Arabidopsis thaliana: one gene and its partners. The protein of the gene in region 3 interacts with the protein of the main gene of each other region in a pairwise test. Each region holds a gene or a part of one and is shown on either strand. Other genes may lie near its edges. The genes, in order: WRKY6, DCP5, AT5G06770 and BPC6.

What was found.
Region 1: the proteins of AT5G06770 (region 3) and WRKY6 interact in a two-hybrid assay, tested with the Arabidopsis thaliana proteins (one large-scale study listed by BioGRID).
Region 2: the proteins of AT5G06770 (region 3) and DCP5 interact in a two-hybrid assay, tested with the Arabidopsis thaliana proteins (one large-scale study listed by BioGRID).
Region 4: the proteins of AT5G06770 (region 3) and BPC6 interact in a two-hybrid assay, tested with the Arabidopsis thaliana proteins (one large-scale study listed by BioGRID).

The regions. Positions count from the first base shown.
Region 1 is NC_003070.9:23,015,903-23,021,699, forward strand, and holds WRKY6 (WRKY family transcription factor), read right to left. Parts: upstream 3,593-5,797; 5' UTR 3,254-3,592; coding exon 2,888-3,253; intron 2,683-2,887; coding exon 2,581-2,682; intron 2,487-2,580; coding exon 2,340-2,486; intron 2,251-2,339; coding exon 1,936-2,250; intron 1,838-1,935; coding exon 1,724-1,837; intron 1,603-1,723; coding exon 985-1,602; 3' UTR 667-984; downstream 1-666.
Region 2 is NC_003070.9:9,023,627-9,029,682, forward strand, and holds DCP5 (decapping 5), read right to left. Parts: upstream 4,330-6,056; 5' UTR 3,931-4,329; coding exon 3,780-3,930; intron 3,476-3,779; coding exon 3,375-3,475; intron 3,296-3,374; coding exon 3,221-3,295; intron 3,131-3,220; coding exon 2,171-3,130; intron 1,999-2,170; coding exon of another isoform or gene 1,979-1,998; intron 1,886-1,978; coding exon 1,814-1,885; intron 1,686-1,813; coding exon 1,512-1,685; intron 1,432-1,511; coding exon 1,321-1,431; intron 1,182-1,320; coding exon 990-1,181; 3' UTR 715-989; downstream 1-714. Other genes in the region: AT1G26100 (Cytochrome b561/ferric reductase transmembrane protein family), read right to left, coding at 1-56, 188-239, 333-455; ICME-LIKE1 (alpha/beta-Hydrolases superfamily protein), read right to left, coding at 5,030-5,182, 5,269-5,359, 5,450-5,593, 5,703-5,768. UniProt on the Arabidopsis thaliana protein: As a component of the decapping complex, involved in the degradation of mRNAs. Promotes P-body formation. Translational repressor.
Region 3 is NC_003076.8:2,089,825-2,094,850, reverse strand, and holds AT5G06770 (KH domain-containing protein / zinc finger (CCCH type) family protein), read left to right. Parts: upstream 1-1,849; 5' UTR 1,850-2,063; coding exon 2,064-2,142; exon of another isoform or gene 2,143-2,671; coding exon of another isoform or gene 2,672-2,684; coding exon 2,685-2,745; exon of another isoform or gene 2,746-3,272; coding exon of another isoform or gene 3,273-3,331; coding exon 3,332-3,914; 3' UTR 3,915-4,148; downstream 4,149-5,026. Other genes in the region: EML2 (Emsy N Terminus (ENT)/ plant Tudor-like domains-containing protein), read left to right, coding at 34-261, 339-407, 505-568, 658-704; LEA4-5 (Late Embryogenesis Abundant 4-5), read left to right, coding at 4,538-4,624, 4,708-5,026.
Region 4 is NC_003076.8:16,998,292-17,003,304, reverse strand, and holds BPC6 (basic pentacysteine 6), read right to left. Parts: upstream 3,047-5,013; 5' UTR 2,879-3,046; intron 2,114-2,878; 5' UTR 2,019-2,113; coding exon 1,962-2,018; intron 1,811-1,961; coding exon 839-1,810; 3' UTR 698-838; downstream 1-697. Other genes in the region: AT5G42510 (Disease resistance-responsive (dirigent-like protein) family protein), read left to right, coding at 4,489-5,013. UniProt on the Arabidopsis thaliana protein: Transcriptional regulator that specifically binds to GA-rich elements (GAGA-repeats) present in regulatory sequences of genes involved in developmental processes.

The DNA of each region.
Region 1 (5,797 bases), on a different chromosome or scaffold from region 3:
AGCTTTATGATTCCGTTTTCACATATTTTACTAAAGAAAAGATTATTCAAAAAATACCACTTTATAATCCAAAATAAAATAATGAGAGTAGGAGAGGCATCTCGGATCGGAAGCAGATCAAAACTTGGTTTTTAGTGCAATTTAAAATTAAGCATAATAAAGACTTACCTGTATTAAAAAAATGCATTATTGGCAAATCATGACCCCCACGTCAACTAGAGTTGCACGGAAAGTCAACAACGTACTTTTGCGTATCGCTTCCTTCCAAAGCTTGAGATATTATTCCATCTATTTACAATATTATTACTCCACAGTACACAGATAATTACGTATCGAAATTTTAATAATTTTCTAGAAAATCCTATTTTTACTTCATAAAAATGAAGAAATTGACAAAGCTAAACTTTTCGTTATATTGTTGCCTAAATTTTTGGTCACATATTTCAGTTTATTTATCTTCAAATTTTTCATGCCATTAAACTCGTAGTTTCTAGGAAGTTGTCTCTATTTGTTAGCAAATATTAATGTGTACAGATTTTTAGGTGACTTAATTAGACAGCAATTACGTGTCAAATTGTTATGGTAGCATTTATTGACCGTTGCAATTGTTAAATATATATAAAAAGGTTATTAAAAGTTCAATAATTAAGTGTCATTATGTAGGACACTTATTTGATGATATCTCATTATCTTATTGAAGGTACGGCCAAACTATTAGGTTTGTATCGGCGCTCACATGTGAAGTATTTAATATACCACTCAAAAGAAATATCAAATATTAAAGCTTTAAAGGCAATGCTAATTAAGTTACGTAACTATTTATAGTGTTTACGAATATGAACTTGAGTATAGTTTGCTTTTGTATATTTACTGGGATTTTGGTACGAAACAGAACAAATGTGAATCAATGAAATAAACTCTCTGTTTCCTATAACCCAGTTGGAAAAAAAATGTAGATACCCAAAAAAAAAATGTAATATTTTTCTATTGATTTTTGTTGTTTCCTTCGCCGTCGTGGTGGTTCGTACCATTGATCATAGAAGAAATAACGGCTGCAAGAGCCGCCGTGAAATTCGGGTCAGCTGTGAGTGCCGTTATTGTATCAGCCACCGCGTGTGACTGAGAAAACGCTGCCGTCGAGGGAGAGCCACCAGAGAACTGCAGCCCCGAGAACTTGGATTGGTTATACAATGCCTGGCCTATTACATGAGGTAGCATTCCCGGAGGTAAGTTCGTCATTTGCTGTTGTTGTTGTTGCGGCCGCTGCATCAGTGAGTTGTGGTTGTTGTTGGTAGCCGCGGAAGAGGAAGGATTGGAACCATTAGGAGGCGGAGGTGAGTGGGTGAGGTCTAATGTGACGGTTGGAAACGGCGCGGAGGCTGAGATTGTTGCCATGCTTGTGGAGCAAGGAAGAACAGCCCTAGCTAGTAAATTTGTAGGGTTCATCATCCCGTCGTGACTAGACATTGACCCGGATAGCAACATGTTAGCCGCCGCCGTGGTGGTAGAAGCCATGGCTACCGCGGCTGGCGGCAACGGATGGTTATGGTTTCCCTCGTAGGTTGTAATCAGAATTGATCTGTCTTCCGCGCAACGTTGAACCTATAAATATCATTTCGGACCGAACGTATTAGCCAATCACGCAAACATATATACATTGAAATCTCTAATGTTTTTACAACAAGAATCTTTTAGTCCAATGGTTAAATCTTTTAAATCTTACTTGTTTGCGAACGGGACAGCCCGTGGCCATCGTGCAGCGGTAATATGCCCGCGGACAAGGATTCCCTTTGGCCATCTTCTGGCCATATTTTCTCCATTGACATCCATCGCTTATCTATAGAAACATAAAGTACAAAGATAATTAATCTCTAAAGCACATAGTTTATTTTTTATATAGTCTTATAAGTATTAGTATCTAATAAATCAACTTACCATCGGAGCTTCCGATCGGGCACGAACGGAGACACGGGCTTTCCTCATCGTAGCTTCAGCGGTTTGATCAAATGTCGTCGGGGTAGTAGAATTCACCTTCTGAATTTTGTTGGACTCAGTTTCGGGGCTTTCTTCACGCCCAAGTCTCTTCCCGTTACTACGCCTCTCGGCTGCAGAAGAACCCCCCGAACGAGTTCTATCTTCGGATGAAGAATTTGACACATCCTCGGCCTCACCTACTGCTCTCGTAGGGCCTAAATCAATAAATTGCCTTGGTACTATCGTCTCCTCAGGCTTCTCAGCAGCTTCTATTACCTAATCATATAGGTTCACCAAAATTAATTGCCTATTCATGTAGGGTAAATTCCATTTACTTGTGGTTGATCAATCTAATAATTATTTACCTTATTGTTCTGTTGTTGCTGTTGCTGCATTAGTGAAACAAGATGCATCTGAAGTGAAGTGTAACTGTTGCTAACTTGTGTAAGCAATTCTCTAAGCTTTTGATTATCCATTGTCATTTTCTTCAACTCATCTTGTAATTTCACCAACTGTGATAAACAAAAAAAAATCGAAATATTAATCAAACCGGTTCAAATTATTCATCTATTAAATATTACTAATGTAAAATCAAACTAAACTTACCTCATTTTTCGCACGCTTATCTTCCATTTCGGAAGATTCTCCATCATCGATCATTGACTCATCACTCTTTGTATTACCAGTTGTTCGAAGATTCAAACCGGTCTATAACAAATTAAAATTCAAATTTAGAAATCATTTTGTAAGAAAACAAAATATGATACCTTTATCAAAAAAAAAAAAATGAAACAAAATTTGGTATTTTTATTTGATATTTCAAATGTAAACCAAATTATGACACGTCCACACTAATACAAACCATTAGTAAGAAAATTGTATTTCATATGATTTATCGAAAAGTCGTACTTACATTTACGTCCGTTCGATCATCTTGTTCTTCCTTCTTCACACGAAATCCTTCGTCGTCTTCACGACAAACCCTAGATTTCTTGTCGGAGAAGAAATCCACTTCGCCGGGAACTTCACGGTCATTATCTCCAGCAACGCCAGATGAAAAATCTTCATCTTCACGATCACGAATACCTGAGAGACTCACCGGAAACCTAAATTCACTACCGTTGGTTGATATTCTCGTCTTCTGATCATCTTCTTCGTCAATTCTAGACATCGCCAAAGGATTTGAGAAACGTCGGTGATTCTTATGAGAAATACGATTAGGGTTTAAAAGATCAAGAGAAGATGAATCAAGAGTGAGACCAGACCATCCTCTGTCCATATATAGAAAAAGAAAGAGATCACGAGATTAACGAAGGAGAAAGATTTTTAGAGAGATCAGAAAATGTATTTTTTTTTTGTTTAGGGGTTTGGTTGAAAGAGAGAGAGATTAAGAAAGAGTCTGTGAAGTCTTCTGCCAGAACATAAGACTCTCCTATAAAAAGGGTTTGGGACGTGGACCGATTTTGTTTTTTCTTTTTAAGTTAATGAACTTTGATTTTATTTTCCGGAGACTTTTTAAAAAAATTCTTGGGAGTTTTACGTCAGATCCTGCGTCATTGCCCGGTTACGACCCGACCCATAATACACCGGGATTCTAAGCCCGTTTCATTTTCATGGAAATTCACACACACACACACACATAAAAACTTCATTTGCTATTGGGTAACAGGTTGACGAAAAGGAAAAATGAAACAAAACATTGTACTATTATTAGAAATTTTTAACAAACAATTGGGCAATCCTTTCAAAGCTAATAGAGAGTACACCGTTTGGGATTTATGATTAGTTTTTAGGGTTTATATATAATTTGTTTTTTTTATTACAGTGTATGATTCAGGTTAAGGTGTAGTTTTCATAAATTTTATACGATATATCAGTATGTATTAATTTTAGCATTTAATGTGACTATTATCTTACAAATTTCTTTTAGTTTTACCTCAAAGTCAGTTCTACATTATTCTTTTGGCGACGATAGTTAAAGCCAATCGGATTACTAGTAAACAACTTTTATTTTTTTATAAAAAATTACATATAAACATCCCATTATATAAAAATAATGTTTTTTTATTTACAATGTCTAAAGTTTATTTCAAGAAATTTTTCTTTTTTAAGATTATGAATCAGATTAATATTTTTTGTTATTAACATATACATAATTTTTACACCAATTATTTTGCCAAATAAATAATAAAGTTTTTTATTCCGATGAAAAGGATAAAATTTTATCATGAAACGAGTCAAAACATAATTTTAGATAAAAGAATAGGGTTTTATAAGCTAACTCACTATAAATAGCTTATAAATAGTTTTAACTACAAGTATGTTATAAAACCAAAAATTTGTAAATTGATCGTAAACTATGCCACTGTAAAACGGATTAGCTCATTTGACACTTGTAACATGATGACCAATCAATCAGTTCCTTTTATTAAATTTTGATGTCGAAATCACGAGAAAATGGTTATGTGGCGTAATCGTCTTGAGACTATTAAATTGTGATATGAAGAAAGAGCATTGACTAGTTCTCTTCTGTTTGATCAAACGGACGAAAAGTTTGATCCACCGCTCCGTTTACTGCGGCGCGTTCCACGTGATTATACCTTTTCTCTTTTCTTTTTTTTCAGCTTATTTATTAGTATTAATTTATTTTTAACAAAATACAAAAACAGTTGGAAACAAAAACCGAGTCAACGATTTTGACGGCCCGGCTTCTAATAGTCTTGACTGGTGACCGGTTGCGCTGGTCGTTAGGTCTTACTTCCGTGGCCGGCCGGGCCCCACTCATGTAATAATTTATTTTTTGACCCATTTTTCTTTGATATATTATTAAAGCTAAGCACCTAGTTTCTTGTTTTCTTGAAGTAGACCTTTAGTTCTCTTTCTCTAATGTTAAAAAAGAAAAATAATGAAGACCTTGTTCTCTAAATACAAAGTCGATTTTTATACATATCTTGACAAAGTCGATTATTTATGTTTCGTTGCTTGTCACCGACTTAATTTTTTGTTAAATCATGGTTACCACATGTGATTTGAAAATTTTATGTACTTCGTTACAAAAAGAAATCATGAAGTACAGGAATATTCTTTCTTTTTTTTTTATAATAAATTACAATAACCTAATTATAGTACATGGCTTATGTTTGGGATAACAAATAAAAGAATGGTAATTTTCAGATTTTAAAGTATACATTTTCTTTTGTTGTTATCATATTAGAACTATTGACTTTTCTATTATCTATAATTATATTTTATTAGACTACTACATAATGTAAATGCAATTTTTTTATTTTTTTTGTTAAATTTGTTGAAGGATAACCAAAAAATGGTACTATACAAACCGGATAAAGAAATCGAAACAGGTTCAACAAATTTAGAAAAGTCGAAGAGATTTAGTGTTACTAATCATTGGAATCGCTCATTGGTTGGCTACATGCGGTTATAAGAGCGCATTCTACTGAGATTATTTTCTGAAACAATTAATTTTGAATTGCAATATTACATTGGATAATTTTAGCAGACGAATGTATTTTAATATTTATATTTTTACCTTATAAAATAATAGTTAATGAAAATATAGAAAAAAATAAAAATAAAAAAAAATAAGAAAGAAAAAGAATACAACTAATAACACATATCCAAATAGTCTATATTATATTTATCGTGATAACATGTGTTGCCCATAATAAACCTTATTAGAAAGAAAAAAAAAATTTGGTTGGTGAATTAGTTATGTTGTTCATATAGTAATGTTACAAATTTATAGTATCATAATTATATTTGATATTTGTTTTACTGTTGATTTCCTTTTTATGTTTTCATCGCC
Region 2 (6,056 bases), on a different chromosome or scaffold from region 3:
ATGAACAGCTTTCTTTGTTTTCCTTGAACCAGGCAACCATCTGTGTATCAGAATCGCTGCAGATCAAAACCCCAAGTTCTTGATAAAATATTCAAGAAAGAGAGAGAGAGAGAGAGAGAGAGAGAGAGAGAGAGAGAGAGAGAGAGAGGAAATCTTCAAAAGGGGCATGAGGAGGGATCATCACTACCTTCTCCACTTACAAGAATGAAGCCAATCACCATCAGCAGAGGATGAAGAGTCTACAAGGGTATAAAAACTTTATTAGAGAGAGAAAGAGAGAGAGAGAGAGAGATCCAATTTGATATCAACGAGGAAGGGAGTGTGATAGTTACAGAGTAGCTGAGTCCTAGATTAGGCAGGAAGAGAGCCCAGTACAGAACCGAAACTGCGACTACTAAACCGGACAGTCTCGCAAACAAGACCAATGATAGTCTTGAAGGATCTACACTTCCCATTTCTGTTTTCTCTCTTCAAAAGTTGAGTAAGTAGTGCTACTGTAGAGTACAGTGACTACAGTCTCTCAGACACTAGAGTTGCCGACAAAATGATAATTTGAGAAATAGAGAGGACATTTTATGGATCTTGTATAAAGAAGACCTCTCTATCTCTTAATAAGGCCCATTTGATTCAAGGCTGCTGGTACTGTATTGAAAGTCAAAATGTTTGACTTTTGAAATTTAGACAAGAAGCTACCAACAGTAAACAGCAACAAGCTATTGAGAGTAAATAGAAAATGCATTTCACACCAAATGTCGAGTATACAAAAGTTCAAAATAACATTGGATATAAGAAGAACGACGCTATTACCAAGTCTTAAAAACAAAGATCAGAAATCAAATTAATACACTCCAAAACCACACAAGTGGGGTTTTATAACAGAAAACATTACACGGGACTCGGTTTTTGTTTTATTGCCACATACCAAAAGCACTCAAGAGCTGAGCTCCCATTGGATTTTGAGTCTTTAGAGCCCTTTCTAGCAGAACAGTTTAGGTAGTACGATTTGATACGCCTCTCCCCTGGCCACGTCCACCATACCCGTAGCCACCGCCGCCGCCGCCACGGCCACCATAACCGCCATAACCACGCCCTCCATAACCACCACGTGAGTAACCGTTGTTTCGTCCATAACCACCACGCCCTCCTCGACCTCCTCGGAATCTCGAGAATTCACCAAATGTCTGAAATCATAGCAATACGTTCTGTTAGTCAATGGGATTCTCTTACGATTCTGGGAATTCGAGTATCTCCAGCAACGAGGGGGGACAAACTCTGTCCAGTCTGCTTGCTATTCAGAGTGTGGAAATATATAGATTGTACCTCAGTATCTAGTTTCCGTTGCTCTGAGAACCTAGGCCTTGAATTTTGGGACTCTCGGTCAATGGTGTTTGATGATAGGCTATCGAAAAAGTCATCTTTGTTGTAAACAGGCTACATCAATAAACAATGTGGATGAGACCAGAGAGGGAGAATATGGTGGCTTTACTTGATTATAAGTCTACTTCACTTACTTTGGCCTCGATCTTAGGAAGCTCAGCCTCATCTACAGTCGGGGAATCATCATCTTCATCACCATCTAAGGTAGTACTCTTCCCAAGATGACCCCATACTTCATCCTTATTGAACTTTTCGTTCATTGCTGTGAAATCAAAATCTTCAGTGAATTTCATTACTTGGTGTGATCTCTGCCAACAAGAAGAATTATTAGCATACATGGCTAAAGTTCATGAGCTATTTTAAACTGGTAGATCTTTTCCTTGGTAAAAACAAATAAATGCCGTCACATTCTACAAATGAGTGAGAAGAATAGTACCCCTGCTCCTCTTCCTCGTCCTCTTCCACGTCCCCTGTAACCATTATGATTTGGGAAAGAATGCCCGTTTGGCTGAGAAAAAAAATCAGCAATTGAGTTTAAATAATTTCACCATGAAGACTTATAAGTAGACATGCAAAGAAACCATCTTATACACCAAAGAACCCTGAGAGATTTTCATGCATCTTCAACAAAGCAAAAGAGACACAGCATGGAATATTAAAATGGGAATTACCACAGGTGCAGTTATAACAGTTACACCTTATTCCAGCTAACTAAGACACCAGCAAATTCAAGGTTCTTTATGATATTAATAAGAGACATTGAAGGATTTGGCATGTTATGTAAGTTAAAAACCTTCTGAGTTGGTCTTGCAGAGGAAGGCAATGGCAGTATTGGAGGTTGGGCTTCGGATGTAACTGGAACAGATTGTTCCAACCCAGCTGATGACGATACTTGAACCACCTCAACATCTTTATCAGCATTTGTCGAGGGTGGGGACAAAGAGACTGCAGAAGATCCAGACTGCAGCAGTTGACCAGGAGTAACCAACAAAGGTTTTGGCTTATCTTGGCTAATGGAACTAGAAACTCCCGCAACAGGAGCAGATGTTAATGGTGTTGTCTGCGGCGGAGAAATTGGACCAGTTACTACACTAGGCTTGTTAGACAGTGGAAGGCCAGTACTTGCTTCTGTGGCTCTCGTAGTAGATAGAGAAAACGAAAGCAAATTAGTATCCTGAGGTAGGGTAGGAGGAGCAGTAATAGGAGCTTTGTTTGACAGCAACGGAGGTGCCATCTCTGAAGCTAGTGAAGGAGATGGTGCTGATTGCAGTGTAGACTGCAGGCTAGACGAGAGCGTCACAGGTGGTAGACCAGGGAAAGGCAATGAACTAGGAGCTAACATTTGAGAACTGGTACTAAAAGGAAACAATGAAGAGGGTGCTTCTGGCAAGCTTGACCCCTGCAAAGATGATGACCCAGTAGGTGGAGGAGGGGTATTAAAGTTAGGATATTGCAGGGGTTGCTGAAGAGAGTTGGGCATTGGCAGCCCATGAGGGGGTCGAATCAGAGACTGCTGATGCAATTGGGGAAGGCCATTGGGAGGTGGGGTGTAGAAACCTTGCCAATACATTGGTGGTTGTGGTGACGCTCCCCATGAACCAAGATTTCCACCAGGCTGATACAAAGGCATTGCGTTTTGAAATCCCATTCCATGTTGTCCAGGTTGTCCATTATGAGAACTAATGTCAGGTAGTGACCCGCTCGCAGTAGAAGGCAAGCTACCAGATGTTGGCATCGGGCTAGGGTAGTGAGACTGCAAAACCAAGACAAGTGGAGGATGGGGTTACATCAATTGACTCCAAAATCCCAGACAATGTAATCTTACAACTTTTCTAACATTCACCTGAATTATAGCAGGGTCATTATTTATAGTAGATGCAGGAGGCTGAACTGGTGGAGAAGCTTTGACTTGCAAATCCTACCAACAACAAGAACAATCAGAGTACAAAATCGGCAGGCTACTTACATAGAAGTATTAGCATAATCCTGCTGAATACCTTGATATCAGTTCCACGGAACAATATGTACTCGTAAACTTTGTCACTTGGAGGAACTTGTGGACCATCTTTTTTCCTTCCTTCAGTTCCAAATGATCGAACTACACACAACAAAAGTTCAGGGATCAGAACCAAAATCTACCTCATCGACCACTTAAACACTGATCTTTTATGCTCAACCAATAGTTTCAAGACATCAATTACAATTTGAGAACTCAAGTAATAGACATGAGCACTAAAACAACATTCCTTTCAAATCGAGCTAAACAGTTCAGATTGGAGAAAACTTTCTTAACGATTAACGGAAGAAACCATTAGTTTCTACCAAATCCGAGAGAAAACACCACCAAAATTAACACTTAACAAATCTGGTAATCCCGAAACGGAAGTGGAAACGGATCGTACCGTTTTGAAGTCCGATACTGGATTCATCTGTATTAATATTGTAAAGGATCCCTTCGTATCTGATCTCACTCTTAGATGTCAAACTAATCAAGCTCCCAACGTAAGAATCCGCAGCGGAGCTCGATTTCGAACCCGTATTATCAGCCGCCATATCCGATCTATGTCTCTCTTCGCCGACGAAATCACAGCCAAAGAGAGAAAAAACTAAAAGACAAGAGAAGGCAAACACACACACACACACTTCGAGTTCCTTGATCTCCTTCTTCTTCTTCTTCTTCGCGAGAGAGAGAGAGAGAGAGAGAGAGAAAGCTACAGATACACAATTAGGGTTTACTCTAATTTGGGGAGATCGAGCATCTCTTTTTTATTATCCATTCCCATAAAAGCCCAATTCAGAAAATAATATCAATCTGACCATTATAGCCTAGTATGGCTCCATTGACTTCTCTCTAATCACTAACCGAAGTATGCCTCGTGTACACGCGAAGGGTTTATTTCGTAATTCACCGCCAATGGTGTGTTTAGGCGAGTAGCTACGAGCCTACTCGAGCCATTCCAATCCCACGGCTCGTGTTCTGATTGCTTACTCTGGTTAGAGTTTATTATTTTATTTTGGTAGGATGGTTAGAGCTTATTATTTACATATTAATCCTAGTATCAAATCTAGTGTTATTCATAAATTAAAAGGCCTTTTAAAAAATGAATTTTGAGAAATATTTTTGGTGATTTCACCTACATTTTTAGTTGAAAATTGGGGTTAAGAAAATCACACCTTTTTTTGTCAAGAAAATCACACCTTTTTTTCTCAAGAAAATCACACCTTTGGAGAGTTTTAATTATTAAAAAAAAAATCAGACCTACATTTCTTCCTTGTTAAATGACACTGGTTCGGCACTTTGTATATAGGTAGAGAAGTCAACTGATGCCAAGAAAATAGTGCAACCAATGATTAATGATCAGAGAAGAAGAAGACCAAAGACAGTTTAATTAAGGTGACAAAGTCAATGAAGCCTTGTTTCTTTAATGCACTTTCAGTGTTCTACAAAAACACAAACAGGCAATGACGAAATAATCAGTGTATTTGCAAACCGGGATACAATATCATCATCATCAAAGTTCAAAATCATCTGTATCGTCAAAGTATAGTGGGATCTGTTTTCCTTGTTAAGTAATATGCACATTGACCCGTCTGTATCACTGGAAGAAGGAATGTACTTCCTTTGATCTTCTGGGAGATAAGAGTGTAGGAGTTAGAACGGACTGACCCAGTGAGCCAACTTCAACATGAATTCAGGTACAAGACGCCTTCTATCTACGCTTTTACCAATCGCTTCTTGATCGTCTCCCAGAACCACTGTTACTATATCTTCAAACATCTCATCTATTCCACCTCTCATTGGATCCTAACATAGATAACCAAGTTTCTAGATCAAAATTCAGGTTCTTGTCCGACAAGACATTCATACCTCAAAAAGACCGGCCATTTTACCTGAAGAAACAAATCCGTGTGTGTTTTCCCCTCGTAAAGGATCACTTTTGCTTTGGCCCCAAGCCTCTGGAGGGTTTCCGCAAAAGATTTACTGCAAAGATAGTGTAATAGAAGTTCAATCATCATCTTAACTTTCTGATATACATAAGACAGACAAATACACACAAAAGTTAAACCATACCTTGCATCTGACGGGATGGAGTAGTCATCAGTACCATGGAATAAAATAAAAGGTGGGAGACGAGCAATGATGTGTTTGAGATTCGGGTTTTGCACTACTAATTCAGGAGAGAACTGCCTTAATGATTCCTCTCCTTCCATGATGCTGAGGAAAATCAAACGTCACACGTTAAACTGTAAAAATTTCAGGCTGCTCTACTGGCCAGGTGAGTAACGTAAGCTATACCAAGATTCCAAAAGAGAAAATGCTATACCTCAGAAAGATGGAACGGTACAGCCCCCTGCTATGGAAGTGGTCCACAAGGTTCAAAAGGTTGTATCTGTAGATCACGATCACAAAGTTTGTTAAGAATAGCCAAGCAGATGATGTGAGGCCTCATCAAAAAATTTGTTGCTTTAGTTGGGTAGAAGGCAGGAATCTACTTGCTACTTTGAGCTAATATTTGACCATTACTTCACCGTTCTACGAATTGCCTAGCATTTCTACAAAAGACCTTGGTGGCTAGATAAAAACTGGAGTTAACACATATATAAATACTCAGGCAATTAAAGAAACTTGTTTTTCTCAACTTCTTGACAGAAAAATTTACATTCCAATGTATCGTCTT
Region 3 (5,026 bases):
AGAATCTGAAGTTAGTTAGTTATATAATTGTAGATTCCAACGAAAGATATAAGATGGGATGGAGAGGAAGATGGGGTAACTTTGAATGTAGGACATGGCGGTGGAACAACTCGTGGGAATCGAAGGACCTTAAGCCATGGTGGTAGAGGGAGAGGTCCAAGAACTCAGCCAAGAAGAGAACATTTAGCAACGGAAAACGGTGGTGGGAGGAAGTTTTTCGGTGAGATTGAATTGTTCAACACAGACTCACTTGTGAAAGAGGTAGGTATCTCTATCTCTCTGCATTTTGTTTCTCTTTAGGCAAAAAGGGTTTTTGATGTCGAAATCTTTCGCATTAGGTCGAGAGAGTTTTTGATTCAAACCTTCCTGATCCACATGAGCTTGATAAGGCCAAGAAGCTACTCAAGGTGAGCGATATGATAATTGATAAGAACTTTGTGACGAGATATCGATTGAAAGAAACAGTGAAGTGAAACTTGGTGTTGTTGTTATTGGATGATATAGGAACATGAACAGGCGCTTATTGCTGCCATTGCAAGGCTTACGGATGCTTCTGATTACGAAAGCGGTAATAAATGTGAACAGCGGCCTTTGTTTATTTCTATTTGTCATGCACTAAGATCACTAACAACAACATAATTTGTGCTGGTGAACCAGATGGAGAAGAACCGTATTCGCATGAGCTTCCAATGCTGCTGGGGTGAGTATGTATGACACCATCACCCCTAGGAAAAATGACTAGCAATATTTCTTTTTCTTCTGTTTTGCTTTAAGGGATCCCAGAAAATGATTTTGTTCATATATGATGAACAATTAGTAGTATTCTTCTAATTTGTGGTTTCAGAATGTATGAAAATAATCGTTAGGAATTTTGTTTGTAAAAACACTATTTTTAAAAAAAAATTCTGAACTTGTGTGATCATCATCAGGCTTGCCATCAGGATCGTTAATAATTTACTTGCTCAAATCCCCAATTCCTGTCTAAACAATGTAAAAAGAATCGAACCAAGCATGTAAATATTGAGAAGAGGCTTTTGACCTTTGAGCATAACATTCAAAATCTGATTCAATTAGCAAGAATATAAGATGGAAAGTGAGATCAACATAAATCACCTGTCACTGAATCCTTCAATTTTAAAAATATTTCAATGGTTACTTTACTTCAATTTATTTTATTGTTTTAAAAAAATATATTCAATGGTTATAAGAACGGTTAACAATAAATTAGTATCAGGGTTATCGTCTTATCGACCCGATGTTAGAAATTTTTTATAATTTTTCTTTTGTTAAAATGACAATCTTAATTCTTAATGGCAATTATATGTTCAATCTTAATGGCAATCTTAAACCGATCGATTATTCAAATTATATGTTCCGTATTTTTTTTAGATTGAATGTTATTGATAGAGTTATCAGAAAAAAATACTACTTTTTAGTTTAAATTACTGTGATTATGATAAAAAATTAAAACGCGCCAAACTTAACGATTTTTTTCCAAAATTTCTACAAATGACTCGTTACCCAAATTATTTTTTCTGTATTTTTTGAATATATTAAAACTAATGTGACTATGATAAAACAATTAAAACGCGCAAATTTAACAATTCTCTATTTTTGAAACCACTGGATGTGAATTAACAATAAATATAAAGTAATATGTGTACAAATAATCAGAGTTGAATATTTTTTTGGTGTTTATTACTTGCATGAGTACAAGTTTGATTCCAGTCTCATCAAATAAACTCTATTATTGTCAAAACATAAATTCATTCTAATGTTAATGTATATACTTTAAATTTATAGTAATCCATATAATTAATAATGGAATTAGTCTCCTGGTCTTTTGGTGTTCCACGAATTAATTTATATTATTAACAAATTAAGCAAACCTCTATCCCCCATTTATATTGTTGAGCTGTGTGTGTGGAGATGATGATGATGATGATAAACCCAATAGAATTTTAAAAGGATAAGAATCGCAAAGCTCATATCACAAAACTTTGAGATCTCATTTCATCTTTCTTCGATTCTACCTACTCCGATTCAATCGATCTTATCGAGACATGGATGCTCGTAAGAGAGGACGCCCTGAAGCTGCTGCCTCTCACAACTCCAATGGCGGATTCAAGAGGTCTAAGCAAGGTTTGTTCTTTCACTCCTCTCCTTCCTATTGTCTCCAATTGGGTTTTAGAAATTCGAGATCTTCACAACAAGAGAGAATGTTTTGGTATCACTTATGTTTGTTCATTTCTAGTTGCAATGTGTGCTCTGTCTCTCGTAAAGGTTGTTCCTTTGTTCATTTTTGTGTTCATTAGAGAGATTAGTCGCAAACCCTTTTTCTGCTTCAGTCTGGTATTACCTTACTTGAGAGTTGGGAGACAATTGATATGAGAAGTTTGTATCTTGTTCTGCTTTGTGTTGTGCTATTGGCTTACCCTTCTTCTCATATTCATTGGATTCATCAATCAACTCCCATTAGCCTTTGTGACCACTCAACATTACTGGATTTACTTGATTGATATATTGATCTGTATCAACTCAAGCTGTTGAGTTCAATTTCAAAACTCTATAACCCTGGAAATTTTCAAAACCAGAATGGTATACTGGTGCCAAGTCCAAATGATATGTATTGAGAAAATTGTAGAAAAGTTTAACCAAGTAAAAGCACTTAATGTTTGCAACAGAGATGGAATCAATTTCAACTGGTTTAGGAAGCAAATCCAAGCCATGCACTAAATTTTTCAGGTTATAAATCTATTTTTTTTCCTGATTGGATCATGAAATTAAGAAGTAATACTGTATAAAGTGTGCTAATGAAGTGGATAGTTGTTATACAGGTACGTAGCACTGTTCATCCTTAAACGAGTTAAAAAGTCAATGTAACAAACTGTGATTCCTCCTAAGAATGGATGATAAGCTTATATGGAGTATAATTTTGGAACTGAACTCTACTGGTGAATCTAATATACAAAATCAACCAAAACTTGTTTTTGTGGCTGTCGTTGTAAACAATTTGTTTATTCTTCTTCTGTTTGATGGTAAGGAAACTGTAATTTTGCATATGCAGCATAAAACCATTGTTCTCAAGTAAGGTTCTTCTTGCATTATCTTTGAACTATCCATGAGTCTTTCGGCTCCTGTGCAACGTGTTGTTCATCGGTGATGCATAATGACTACAATCTGTTTTATTACTTTATAAATTTCTTTCATTATCTTTGTACTAAAACGCTATAGCTTTTTCGAGAAGGTAGCAATAGTGCAACAGCTTGGAGATGTGTCGTTTTGTTCTTTCTCGAATGAATTTGCTGATGCATTATGGTTTGTACTGCAGCACTTCTGGATGTCCATTTGGTGACAATTGCCACTTCTTGCACTATGTGCCCGGTGGGTACAATGCTGCAGCGCAGATGACAAATCTCCGACCACCGGTTTCTCAAGTTTCCAGAAATATGCAAGGATCTGGTGGTCCCGGCGGCAGATTCTCAGGGAGAGGAGATCCAGGATCAGGCCCTGTTTCAATCTTTGGTGCTTCTACTTCCAAGATCAGTGTAGATGCTTCTTTAGCCGGTGCCATCATTGGAAAAGGTGGAATCCATTCCAAACAGATATGCCGTGAAACAGGAGCAAAATTATCGATTAAAGATCATGAAAGAGACCCAAACTTGAAGATTATCGAGCTGGAAGGAACATTTGAACAGATCAATGTAGCGAGTGGGATGGTGAGAGAGCTTATAGGGAGGCTTGGATCAGTGAAGAAACCTCAAGGGATTGGTGGTCCTGAAGGGAAACCACATCCTGGGAGCAACTACAAAACCAAGATCTGTGATAGGTACTCTAAAGGGAACTGTACATATGGAGATAGATGCCATTTTGCTCATGGTGAATCTGAGCTGCGCAGGTCAGGAATCGCTTAGTTATGTCTTTAGACTCTTGAGAACAGATTATGCATTGTTAGCTCCATTATCATTGTGACTTTTTGCTCTCTCTTTTTGTTTTATCAATTTGTTTTATGCGACTCGCTTTGAAAACTTTAGCCCATTCTGTATTGAGCTCTGAAGATTCGACGAGTTCTGTAAGTTACCGATCACAGTTAAAAGACTTTGATATGTTAAAACCCTTATATTACAGCTACATACTATTTTTGTCTTAACTCTTAAGATATCATGCACAATAATATACTTGTTTTGTCTTAACCTATCGATTACAAAACCGGGTTAACCGCCGACATGAGGCGAACTCTAAAGCCTAACACGCGTCAACATCTATCTTCTCAACGACTCAAAGGCTTTCCAACACGTGTAGGACCAATAACTGAAACACAAAGCCTACCACCTCTTCTTCCTCTTCTTTCATGACACGTCTCACTGACGTGTCGTCAAGAACGTAATTAAATATTAAACTATCGTGACGAACGCGAGGCCTATGGCTATATCTATGGGACATGCTCGGTGAGCAAAACAATAAACAAAAGTAATCAGAAGATATCTTTGTAACATCTTTGAATTTCGCTAAAGGAAAAGAGAGAGATTTGGTAAAAATGCAGTCGATGAAAGAAACAGCTTCGAATATTGCAGCTTCTGCAAAATCTGGCATGGACAAAACCAAAGCTACCTTGGAGGAAAAGGTAACAGAATTGTGGTTATTATTAATTTATTGATGTAAAATAATAAAAATGGTGTAACGTTGGGTTTGTTTTGTCTTCAAAAGGCGGAGAAGATGAAGACACGAGACCCTGTTCAGAAACAGATGGCTACACAGGTTAAAGAAGATAAGATCAATCAAGCTGAGATGCAGAAGAGAGAAACGCGTCAGCACAACGCGGCCATGAAAGAAGCGGCTGGAGCCGGAACCGGTTTAGGTTTGGGGACGGCCACTCACTCGACCACTGGACAAGTCGGACACGGCACTGGGACACATCAGATGTCGGCTCTGCCTGGTCACGGAACGGGACAACTGACCGACCGCGTTGTGGAGGGCACGGCTGTGACCGACCCGATTGGAAGGAACACTGGAACTGGTCGGACAA
Region 4 (5,013 bases), about 15 Mb from region 3:
TTAAATGCTACTTATCTGCGTGAAATTTGAGTTAATTATATATAAATAATTTACACTTATTATTTATATCAATTTTTAAAATCAATTATATATAAATAATTTACACTTAAATTCAGCATTTTCATATTCTGTAGATAGAAACTTGTTTCATTTAATTTGGGCATAGAATTGTTTTTCATATTTTCTTATTATATTAGTTATTTTATTTTTCAAAATTAATATATTAAATAAAAACGAAAACAAAAATTATTTGACTCTCAATTATATTATTATAAATTTAAACATCAAAAGTATTTATACTAATAAATACATCATAGCTTTTAATGTTTTTATCATTTTATTTTTTGTTTATACAGTATTTAGATTATTTTAGTGCGACTGATTGGTTTATTTTTAATGAAACATAATGTTTTTTCTTAATAAATAAAATATATAGGTCCCACAAAAAAAGCAGAGAAAACTCTCGAGTCGTATATCACAGTGAAATCTCCCTAGACTAATCATTTGTGATTTCTTTATCAAAAATTCCAAATTGATAGATATGATCAGATCCATTTGTTCACACAGTCCGTAAGTTGTAGGTGAGTGAAATAGCTCACATTCCATCCATGATTCAGTATCAGTTCAAAAGAAAAAGTTGTCTAGTTTTTCTTTGTTGATGTGAACAAAAAATAATAATTCTACGGTTTGTGATGTTACTAAAAATTTTCGAATTATATAATACAACATAACATTGGCTCCACATACAATTCTTTTCCTCTCGAGTTTATTTGAATTTAGTACACATGATTTAAAATCAGATAATGTCGTAAGAACAACTCACACCTAAATGCACATATCATTTAATCGTAATGTAGCGGTTTGTACCGTGCTTTGCCCAATGGTCCTTCAGATCGACCGGGTTTGAAAGATCATGATGCCCTTCTGCAGCAAGCCGGCTTAGAAGCTTGTTGAACGCGCTTCCGCTCATTTTCCGTCCACCAACTCGAGCATGCCTTTTGTTGGGCAGTGCAGGTAAAGGATACATTGATAGTGTAGTTGTGCAACACGATGATTGCCAACCTCCATTTCCCCATTTGTAGCACTGTCTGAGAACTCCTGTACATGAACATACAGGTGGTGGCATCGTTGTCTCGTCGTAAACCACTTGGTTCAGCCCCACCATTTCTTGACTTTTCCAGTCAGATTTTGATCCTATTAAGATATGCTTACTTGAATCTTCGTCTGTGTAGTCATGGGTCGTCTTTACAAACATTATCTTGTTTAAGTCGTCCTCGCTCTCTTTCTTAACCTTCCTCTGATTTTTTGGCCCTCTCTTATTAGCAGCAGTTTGTGTTGTCGCCTTTGGGTTCACTCTTTTACCACGTTTTGGTTTGGCAGATTCCAAGGTGGATCCGGCAGGTGGTGATGTTGGGAGACCATCATTTGGCTCCATCTCTCTGGTTTCATATGCATTTTCAGTCAACTGAGGTATGTGATGTTGTTGATGATGATGATGCATGTGCGGATGGTGCAAGTGTTTTACACCACGTGATATTTGACATCCTGGTGGACATGCTGACATATTGGCAGCAGGAGCAGTAACCATAGAGTTCTCACGGTATTGGAGTGCTGTAAGAGCACTGTCTCTCTCCATTATCGCATTGTTGCGCTCAGCAATGGCGGTGTCCCTCTGAAGAAACGCCATGTCCCTTTCAGCTACTGCTGCTTTTTTCTCTGATATCGCCAGATTTCTCTCCTGAATCGCTGCATCGCGCTCTGCTATTATCGACATCACTTGTTTCATCGACGGCTGATGCTGCATCAACCACTGTTTTACATCATGAACAAATCATACATTCCCATCAAAAACAGTCTCAAATCTGAGGTGTTTAGCCGCAAGCATGATGAACACCCATAAGATGTATATATAGAGCAGAGAAAGGAAAACAACTGATTTAGCTTTGGGATTGTCAAGGTACCTGGCCCTGAACTGCTGCTTTATGCCGACCATTCTCACGATGCCCACCATCATCCATTTGAGATATTAAAAGTCTTGACGGTACAGCTTCTACAATAACTGAACAAGCTAACGGAATATCAAAATAAAAGACTGGTCCATCTTTTAATCCTCCTGCACATAGCCAATCATTAAACAGTGTCAAAAAAGACCATTTCATAAATAAACTACTATGAAGCAAAATAGCCAATCACCAAAGCATTGCTAGTATTAGTGAACATACATAAACGACTATGAAGCAAAAAAAAAATCTATACTTGAGTTCCAGAATATGATTCAGCAGAGACAAAGCAAACAATTGTTTGTCCATCTATGAGTATTTTCTGAAAAACTTTCAACAAAAACACTCAAACTCAGATGACTAAAAATAGCAACATTAATATCGAAATGGTACCATTTTGTTTCAGGATTTGCACATCAATCAATCGATTCTAACCAATACACATAAACTCTGTGAGATATCAAACTCAGCTAAAAGAAACACAGTATCATCGATTATAGTCATAGTGATAATCATCAAAAGCTAATTTGGGAAAACACAAAACACAAAATCGCCTACTCATGATGATCAATAAGAACTCTAAAACCACAAAATCTGGTTCGATACACTATCCAAAAGAAAGAAACAATCCAAAAATTCTCCAACTCTAATGTCGATAGAAACAGGCAAAGCTCATCAAAATTAGGATTTAGCCATTTGGAATCAAATCGAGTAACTTAATTCAGCAATTAGGATTCAGCCAAGCCCTAATTACTTCAAACGAGCTTCGATTAATAGGAAATGAGCTTAGAAGCTTGGTAAGAACTTGGAGAAAAAAGTGAAATGAAAAGGGGCGGCGAAGAGAGAAAGAAGATGGTGGAAGAGTAAGCGAAGTTTACCGGGGGAAGTAGAGAGAGAACCCGCCGGAGAGATACAGAGAGACGACGACGGTGGTGGTGGTGGTGGTGATGACAAGCAGAGCAGAGAGATTGAAACCCTAATTGAACTGCGAGAGAATAAAGAAAAATATCTTTGTGGAAGAAACAGATCGGGGAAGAGGAAGATGGATTTCTTTCTTTCTAACTGTTTTTACGTTTGGTAAAAACAAATTTTTAAACTTTTAACTCTTTTTTCACCCATTTGGTAAGTGTTTTACTGTTGCACTGTTGTTGTTGAAAATTAGGTGACCAATTGGAAAAAAATAAAATAAAAAATGTCTATTAGTATTATTATGTAATTACCAGTTAGATTATTTTTATATAAAATTTAAAGTGTGGCTGGTGTGGTCATTACAGTTTATATATAATTTAACATTTTACGATCAATATTAATATGGCCTTTTTGAAACTTCAGTCTCGGTCGCCAAATATCAATAAAACGTTACCTTTCCTCAGAACAATCGACTCTATAATTAGATAGTAGCACATTTGTTATGAGATTTTATCACAAACAACATTTGATGCCCCAACGTACTTAACTTTGACGCCATGTGAACGTGGATTCCTGCAGCCTAAAACAGAGCACCTACTTGATCTGAATAATAGATTTGTTTTATTAATAGTAGCCTTAAGACATTGATACTTTTTAACTCGACAGAGGATTCTCGTCCCCATGCATTTCTCATTAGGCATGACCCAAGAGTTATTCTCACAACGAGAAAGCTCTCGTGCATTCCAAGTAAACTGAGAAGACGAAAGATGAATGTTATTCCAAACAATTGATATAATATATTTTAAGTTTAATTGAGTAACTAGCACAACTGTACTTCAAAATTATGCAACTACCAAAATTCTTGATCGTTGTTTTATTTTTTGAAAAAAAAAAATTATGCAACTACCAATTTTGTTTTATAACAAAATTCAAGGAGTTTCTAAAATAAGTTATATACTTTTTGCAAGAAAACTAAAGTCTTGTCATTGATCATTGTTTCAAATATCATGTATTGTTTTTAATCTATTTTATGATTTAACTCTAGCCCGTCGCACCTATGCCCTCCTCTTTTGGGACTCAGTGGATGATTAATTCAGTGTACAAAATATAAGATCATTAATTAGAGAACACTGGTATTGAGTTTGGAACCATATGTATATATTAATATATATCTTAGGTACATATATACAGATTGACAATCCTAAATTTAAACATCAATGTCTATGTACATCTTTGATCTTAATTTCAATTATATGCATCTACTATATATCTTTCTTTATATATTTATATGTAGTGTATCACAATGCAGAATCTTGTTTTATTCTTATTTGTTTTGTTTTTCTTTCGTCGTGCATCCTTATATATTTGCCAGTTTATATCATGATTCGTACAAGTGGAAATATCTAGTTGTTTATAAATCGAACCACCTAGTTTACTTCCACGTCAACGGACATGTTGTTGTCACCAATCGAGAAACGACATATTCAAATGTTTTATGAGCCAACAATTGCGTAACGATCATGTTTTGTGTATATATATAAATCACATTTTCACATTTCCATAGCTACAAACAACGAACATGGCTAAACGTTTTCTGCTTCTTCTTCCTCTTTTGTCATCTATTCTTCTTCTTGCCGTGTCCGTCACAGCTTACTCCACAACAACGCCGTATCAAGGCTACAAGCCGGAGAAATTCACCCACCTCCACTTCTACTTCCATGACGTCATCTCCGGTGACAAACCTACCGCCGTCAAAGTTGCCGAAGCCCGCCCAACAACCACCCTCAACGTCAAGTTTGGCGTGATTATGATCGCTGATGATCCGTTGACCGAAGGACCAGACCCGAGCTCAAAGGAAGTGGGAAGAGCTCAGGGGATGTACGCATCAACAGCCATGAAGGACATAGTCTTCACAATGGTCTTTAACTATGTTTTCACGGCAGGAGAGTTTAATGGAAGCACCATCGCGGTGTATGGACGGAATGATATATTTTCGAAGGTGAGAGAGTTGCCGATTATTGGAGGAACTGGTGCTTTCAGGTTTGCTAGAGGCTATGCACTGCCCAAGACTTATAAGATTGTTGGTCTAGATGCCGTGGTCGAG